Linked DNA regions of Caenorhabditis elegans. The protein of the gene in region 2 purifies or fractionates together with the protein of the main gene of each other region. This does not show direct contact. Each region holds a gene or a part of one and is shown on either strand. Other genes may lie near its edges. The genes, in order: ugt-49 and tbb-2.

What was found.
Region 1: the proteins of tbb-2 (region 2) and ugt-49 fractionate together in Caenorhabditis elegans (co-fractionation; one large-scale study listed by BioGRID). This does not show direct contact.

What each region holds. Positions count from the first base shown.
Region 1 is NC_003283.11:10,370,597-10,374,888, reverse strand, and holds ugt-49 (UDP-glucuronosyltransferase), read right to left. Parts: upstream 2,569-4,292; 5' UTR 2,550-2,568; coding exon 2,324-2,549; intron 2,279-2,323; coding exon 2,165-2,278; intron 2,120-2,164; coding exon 1,803-2,119; intron 1,754-1,802; coding exon 1,583-1,753; intron 1,537-1,582; coding exon 1,377-1,536; intron 1,272-1,376; coding exon 682-1,271; 3' UTR 628-681; downstream 1-627.
Region 2 is NC_003281.10:4,015,279-4,019,342, forward strand, and holds tbb-2 (Tubulin beta-2 chain), read right to left. Parts: upstream 2,350-4,064; 5' UTR 2,345-2,349; coding exon 2,179-2,344; intron 2,107-2,178; coding exon 1,588-2,106; intron 1,511-1,587; coding exon 1,037-1,510; intron 982-1,036; coding exon 788-981; 3' UTR 632-787; downstream 1-631. Other genes in the region: C36E8.4 (SH3 domain-containing protein), read left to right, coding at 118-270, 320-463. UniProt on the Caenorhabditis elegans protein: Tubulin is the major constituent of microtubules, a cylinder consisting of laterally associated linear protofilaments composed of alpha- and beta-tubulin heterodimers.

The DNA.
Region 1 (4,292 bases), on a different chromosome or scaffold from region 2:
AGAAGGAGAAGAATAACTAATAAGGTCATAACAGTCACCTGCAACTTTTTCTAAATCAATAATTTTTTAGAATAAAAATTTAAAATGGGTTCCAAAATACTTTAAAACTGATTAGAACTGAACCGCAATATAATAAGACAGAACATTTGAAAAGTATACAACCTGAAGTTTATCAATTTATATAACTTTTTCATTCTGGCGGTGTGCTACTCGTTGTCAACTACGGTTTTTGGCAGAAAAATGTCGTGCTTTGTAAACGCAGAATGTTTTATTTTCAACAGGAAAAAAGATGATAATAATTGGAACACTAATTGATGGTAGAAAGTGGTTTCTTCAATTTTAAGGCATTGGTTGAAAAATCTAGCAGTGGAAGATGTTTTTAAGCTGTCTGGAATTTCCGTTTCTTGCACGATTCGTTTAACCCGTTGTTTTGGGCCACAAACAGTTTGAAACAAATAGAAATTCAAAAGCCAGACTTCAGATTGTCTGGAATCCGAAAAAATACCGGCCGGTACCACATTGACGCTTTTAAAATTTTTAGAATGAGGCCATAACATTGTAGAAAAGATTAAAGTCTACTTTCTATTTTCGTTAAGTCTTGTATGCTTAATTCACCTGAACACCTACTGGAAAATAACATTTATTTTTAATATTTTTATTAAAAGAGACTATAAATATCAGCTAATTATTTTTCTTAGATTTTTTAATATTCGACTGAGATCTCTTCTTACAGCACAGAAACTTGAAAGCATAAATGAAAACGTGAAGAACAGCAACGAACACGAATAGGACAAAAGCAATAACATCAAGATTATAATAAATAATTGTATTTAATCTTGATCCTTCCACGTGTAACTCTTCCAAAACGCCATGATCAATTGCAAATTGTGTCCATTTTGTAAGGCGTTCTTCTGGACTGAATGGCTTGTCTCTCATCATTTTCCCAATTCTTATCGCATTTTTTTTGTAACTTGGAGTGTTTAAAACTGTTAGAACTGTGTTTTTGAAGCTTTCATATCCAATATCCAATTTCAGAAGAACTTTGCCAATTCCTCTCTTTTCAACCATTCGTCCATTTCTAAATTGATCAGCAAAAACAGGAACAATTACAGTTGGAACTGCCTGGATAGCTGTTTCAACTAATCCATTAATTCCTCCATGCATTACAAAAAGCTTCAATCTTGGATGAGAAAGAATATCTACTTGTGGTAACCATTCAGCTACATCCACGTTTTTAATTCCTTCGACCAATTTCTTGGTATTATTGTCGCCTGCAAAAAATTAGTATCTTGACAAATTACTATGGGGGATTTATTTTTAAATTCTTCTGAAGCTTCTGCACTATTCGATGTACTCTGGAACCGTCAATTATTTACCTTTGGCAATTTTAATAAGGAAATGATAATCTGATATTTCCTGGATTGCACGCAATACCCCTTCCTTTGCCGCTGCTGGTAGATCTCCAAATGGTATGATTGAACCAAGTGAAATGATTACGACACCTTCTTTTCCTTTTGACATTATGTTTGTGAACTTCTAAAAAACTATATTCAGATAATTTTAAAATCAAATATTGTGTAACCTTATCAAGTGGTTTGCTAACTTTTGGAATTCCCAATCCACCGACATAAATTGCTTTTGTGATAGTTGGTCTTGGTAAATCAAGTACTTCATCGGAATTTACAAAGCAAAGTGAAGAGTTTGCAGCGATTTCTCTGACATTTGGGAAGTCTGGGATGTACTTACGGAAGACCTGTGATTAGTGAAAAAGATTAGTTTTAGGTTAAATTAAAATAAACTACCTCTGTAGTTCCATCAGTTCCGTATCTATGAATAAGGATTGAACCAATTTTCATATACAAGTTGAAAGTTCTCTGCCAAAAATCCATCTTATCACCATTGTCATTTTCTTCGATTGTTGGAACATACGAACTTGGTGCTGGAATTCCCAAATTATAACTAACTGCATCCATAATTGGTGTAGTTGAAATCCATAAATGATTTTTAATTCCAAGATATCTGACAATTCCAACTCCACACAAATCAATTTGTTCACTGAATGCCACGTCGAAGTTGTAAGCTCTCAGTTGTTCTAATTCCTCGCGTCTTGTCATTAAATCTAAATTTTAAAAAATGTTTCGAAAATAATATTGGGTCTTGTCACCATCACACGCGCCTGTGCACGTTTTCTCAAACATTAATCTTTCCAAAAAGCTTAATCTGGAGCTCGATAATAGGTATTCTCCGATTCCATCCATGTCTTCAGCAAACTTTGTACCTGAAACAGTGTTTTTAGTGTTGTTAGAGTCAAATCATAACTCACTAAATCCTTTCATAGTGATAACTTTAGCCTTCTTAGTTCCAGTGAATTCAGTTAATGGTTCATATTCAGTAATGAACATAACAACATCGTGACCTGCGTCAACGAGTGCATCAGCAATTCTTCCATTTGAAATTAAATGACTCCGACTTATGGATGGACTGTACACAAGAATTTTTCCTGCATCAACTGCTAGAAGAGATAGGAGAAGAAATAAAAAGGTATACATGCCCAAGATGGATCTGAAATTCAAAACGTTCAAATTCACGTATTATCAACTCCTGAAACTACTGAAAATAAAAAAAAGATTCAATAGAATGCACATTCGAAAAATCGAATACGAACGTGAAATATAACAATTATCTTACTGTTAAAAACACTTTGTGTGTCTTATCTATAAATTCTTCTATACCCATTTTCATCGAACCTTTATCAATTTAGTGAAAGGTCGATAAAATTCAAGAAGCTACAAAGAACCACGTTTTCACATGAATAGTACTAGAAATTCAACAAAATAAAAATTAAAAAAAACAAGAGAAACACACAGTGAAAAATGAAAAAAATAATCGAATCATGGAACGATTGGCAGCGGAAACAGAAATGAAATATGAAGGGAGAGAAATGGCAGACAGTAGCACCCTAACAATTTTCATTTCAATGAATCAGAATTCATTGGAGAATGAAGAACAAAAAATATATGAAAATTATTTTTTCACCTACGAAATCACAAAATGAGAAATCTGAAATTACATTTGATGGTTCACTTTTACAAACTCGAATAACCCATATTTTATAGAAAAATTTAAAATGCAGGTCTTTAATTTTTTAAGTTTTGATATTTTTAAAAAATTGGTTTCTTCACTTCTTAATACTGAAAGGAAATGAAGCATTATGGGAGAACTTTGTTCGTAACTTGTTCTTTAGGAAAAAAATAGTGCAGATGTCGTCTGGCACAAATTGATTCAACAATGATCTCGACAGTATTTTGACTTATTGGTCGAAACATCTACTCTAAAAAATACCGTGTTTTGTAGACTATTTCTAGTGAGTGCTTGTAGTGGTTAGACATAAGAATTAGATGGTGATACAGAGAAAACACAACCATTCACTGATACATTGACAGTTTTTGGACAAATAGTGACTGATGACAAGAATAGAAAATGACACGGGAACAAGATTGTTTGATAGGTAGAACCCGAGAATAGATTACTGATACGAGAGAGACGCAGATGGTTGTTGTGAATTGTAATAATTGAACTACATGTGACACGGCGAGAATGGTTATGGGAATTTTTGAGCGATTTTAAGATCCTGAGAAAAATGTTTGGGCGTACTTTGTTGGCAAACATGAAACAAGTTTACCAAACGAGGGAATTTTGTGGGGTAAGGTATGATTCCTGAATGCCAGAACGAAAATTCAGGTTTTTAATTCTTAAGTTTTGATATCATGAAAAAATGAGTTAGAAAGTTGAAGAGTATGGAAGAAACATACGCGTCTAAATAAGATGGAAAAACTCTATAATCTTCTGCAAGTATAGATAAGATATCAAATTCCTATTATGGACTGTCACTTATTTATTAGATATACCATTTACCTACACTTGTAAATCATATCTTATCTGCCAAGTTGGTACATCCTTACTATTAGTCTCAGGTCCTGACAATAATGATTTCAGAAAATCCCAAATGTAGTAAACCTTCGAAAAATAACTTATTCGATTTTTGAACTTTGAAAAGGGTTTCGGGTTATTCTCTGCAAACAAATACAAACAGCTTTCCTATCTGAAATATATATTTCAGATGTATACAGAACATGTAACGCATACACTCTAGCTACCTTATTACTGAATTTCATTGAAATCCCTATTAGTACTGCACTCTAATAGCTACTTTTGCAACACCAAACCGCAAAAATCCAAAGATTTCCAATACATATGTTTTATCAGTTTATAGTCTCATTTTTCGCCCCTAT
Region 2 (4,064 bases):
GTACTATTTAAAGGCGCACGCCTCTTCGAATTAAACACCCTTTTTCGTATCGAGACCGCGTACCGTATTTCTGCCGCGAAAAACCCATGTAAGTAGTAATCATTTTTCAATCTTCAGATATCCGACGACGGTTTCTACTCAACAACAACAACATCATCAAATGGTGGTCCTATTCGAACAACTACAACTTTCGATGAGCCCACTTCAAGTCCACCGACAATTTGTAGAGTTCTTTATGATTTTGAGCCGAAGCATGCTGACGAGATTGAGGTGGCTCTATTTAATTGAGATCTATATTATAAATCTGAATTATTTTAAGATTAGAGAAGGTCAATGTGTTCTTGTCGAGGATCGAATAGGAGATGATTGGCTCATTGGGCACGTTATAAGCCAACATGACAATTCTTCAATTGATCCACGATCTGGAAGATTTCCAACCACATATGTTTCTCTTAGGCAATGAGACTTTTTTCTTGGCGGCACAATAAAGTTTCCTCTTTTTGTTGGGTCACTCAACGAACACAATACAAATATTTGAGCGCTCGCATTTTTCTCAACCTTTCGGGTTTAAAGCACTTCAAAATGGAATTGAAGAGAGATTGTGAAAGTACATCAGACAGAATCACATTTTGATAGCATTCACTTCACTCAGATGCAAACTTTTCAGTGACTATAAAAAGTCATAAAATAATAACATTAAAAAAGCAAATAAATTAGCGAGAGAATTTTTTGACAAAAAGAAAGAAGAGTGATAGAGAAGAAGGGAATGCTTGAAAGGATCTTGCATTTATTGCTCCGATTCGTAAGTCTCTCCAGCTTCTCCCTCAGCGTATCCGTCGACGTCGTCTTCGGCAGTTGCTTCTTGGTATTGTTGGTATTCTGAGATGAGATCGTTCATGTTGCTCTCGGCTTCGGTGAACTCCATCTCGTCCATTCCTTCTCCAGTGTACCAATGGAGGAAAGCCTTGCGGCGGAACATAGCTGAAAAAATAACGTTTTTAAAACTGATACTGGATGATAGTTTCAAATTTCTTACCAGTGAACTGCTCTGAGATACGCTTGAAAAGCTCTTGGATAGCGGTCGAGTTTCCAACGAAGGTGGCAGCCATCTTGAGTCCTCTTGGTGGGATGTCACAAACGGCGGTCTTGACGTTGTTCGGGATCCATTCGACGAAGTAGGACGAGTTCTTGTTCTGAACGTTGAGCATTTGCTCGTCAACCTCTCTCATCGACATGCGTCCACGGAACATAGCGGCCACGGTCAGGTAACGTCCGTGTCTTGGGTCACAGGCAGCCATCATGTTCTTGGCATCGAACATTTGTTGGGTGAGCTCGGCGACGGTAAGGGCACGGTAAGCCTGGGTTCCCTTGGCGGAAAGTGGTGCGAATCCTGGCATGAAGAAGTGAAGACGTGGGAATGGAACCATGTTGACGGCAAGCTTGCGGAGATCGGCATTGAGCTGTCCTGGGAATCGGAGACAGGTGGTAACTCCGGACATGGTGAGGGATACTGAAAATTGTAATTATTAGGTTTCAATTTGGGTAACTTGTGCATAACTTAAACTTGAACAAGAAATAATAACTTACCAAGATGGTTCAAATCACCGTAGGTTGGGTTGGTGAGTTTGAGGGTACGGTAGCAGATGTCGTAGAGGGCCTCGTTGTCAATGCAGTAGGTCTCATCGGTGTTCTCAACAAGCTGGTGGACGGAGAGGGTGGCATTGTATGGTTCTACAACTGTGTCGGACACCTTTGGCGATGGTACAACCGAGAATGAGCTCATGATTCTGTCTGGGTACTCTTCGCGGATTTTGGAGATGAGAAGTGTTCCCATTCCAGATCCGGTTCCTCCTCCGAGAGAGTGAGTGAGTTGGAATCCTTGAAGACAATCGCATCCTTCGGCTTCCTTGCGGATCACGTCAAGCACATTGTCGACAAGCTCAGCTCCTTCTGTGTAGTGACCCTTGGCCCAGTTGTTTCCGGCTCCGCTTTGTCCGAACACAAAGTTGTCAGGACGGAACAGCTGGCCGAATGGTCCAGAGCGGACAGAATCCATGGTTCCTGGTTCGAGATCGACCAACACGGCGCGTGGCACATACTTTCCGTCTGAAAAAATTTAATTAATTAATCATTCCAACTAAACGATTTCGAAATCTCCAGAAAATTTTAAAAACTCACTGTTGGCTTCGTTGTAGTAGACGTCAATGCGCTCAAGCTGGAGATCCGTCTCTCCCTTGAAGGTTCCGTCTGGCTGGATTCCGTGCTCGTCGGAGATGACCTCCCAGAATTTGGATCCGATTTGGTTTCCGCATTGTCCGGCTTGCACGTGGACGATCTCTCTCATTTTTGCTGAAAAGGTCGTAATGAATTGAAAAACTATATTTAGATAGAGAAGATGAAGGAAAATAACAAAAGAAAGAGAACACGTCATGGTCGATATTGAAAAGCAATGATTCACGGCAAAAATTTAAAATTAAAGGAGTAAGTTTTTTTAATACATTGAAATTTGAGAGATGTTTAATTGGTGATTTGATTCTAGTTTATTGTGCTCTGAAATTAAATGATTCACGGCGAAAATAAGAAATTAAAAGACGAATTAGGAATAAGGTTGAATAAGGTTACCTTGAAAAATATAAGAGATGTTTAATTGGTGATTCTTTTCTATTCTATATAGGTTGATTCTAGTTTATTGCACTCCGAAATTAACTACTTTCGATAAAAATTTCAGCGCAAGTACCTTTCTATTTGCTCTAAAATGAGCCCACTTTTCATAATCGCTACCCCAAAAAGGAAACAAAAGGACGTTGTAGGAGCAGACATGCAGCTCTTGGGATGTATGGAATGGAGACGAAGAAGAGGCGGGTCGGGCGCAGTTGTGTCCGACGCTGTGTGCATTCGGATCGATAATCGCGAGAACACGGGGCGCGCGGCGCCCGCTCGCATTAAAAACCGCAGTGGCCACTGGGGCAGCAGTCGTTGTTGGACTGCAAAGGGTGGTGAAATCGAATAGACTATTGCGAAATATGCAGATATGGGTAGAATGGGTGAAGAGGAAGAGAGCAGAGGCAAATCTATTGCGAAACATACACAAAATGTCCATCAATTCCCTCTCTTTTTGCTTAATCCATTTGTTTTGCGTGTCACCACTAGGTTTGGCAGAAGGAGATAGAGCACACGACACAGATGGCTTTTCATCGGGTGCAATTTGGTGCTATTGGTTTGGGGTAGAGAGGGAGATGCCGCTTGGCGCGCAGTAATCCTATGGGAACCGAATGAAATGTGCTGGGGGCCTGCAGCTTTGAAAAGCCTTCAGAATAAAAGAGATGAAGACGAACCGTGAAGAAAAACGAGGGACAAAAACTAGTTCAATGCGATGGAAATCGTACCCCTGTTGACGGCTGCGGTGGTGGTGAATTGAGAATTGCGGAGAAAAGAGAAACGGAGATGACGTGGCAGTGACAATCGGCTTGGGGTCGCCTATACAATACGATACATATGCAGCCAATACTTCGTCACACATGCAGCCAGTCAGAGAAAGGTCAATTACCGTAGTACACGCGCCAGGAGACAATGTTAATGGGTACTATCTAGATCAGTTGCTGGTTGGATAACGATTTTAAAATACAATCCAAATCAACGGGAAGCTTCAAAAAAAAATTCCAAGAAATAACTGACGAAAAAAGTCGAGTTAAGGGTCGTGTGTCGGCGCTGGGGACGAAAAAGAGCTCTACTCTTACCCCCACTTTCCGTTGTCGATGAGACACATTATACCAAGCGAGAAACATAGAGACTGGCGCCGCCCGTGCTTCCCTCCCTTCTCCCGTCGTTTTTCTCTCCGCGCCCTCTATGTTTCGGATGGACAGGGACGCGAATGCTTTGTGACGGCCTTGACCAACGGGCGACAGCGGTGTCCCTTACCAACCCGCCACAGGCGAGGCATTTCAAAAAATGTGCCCATCCATCTAGCAATTTGAAAAGACGACGCGCCTGGCTTACGAAGTTAAGGAACTAGCCAACTGAAAAAGTGGAACTCAAAATATTAATCAGTTGCAAAGAGAAATTCT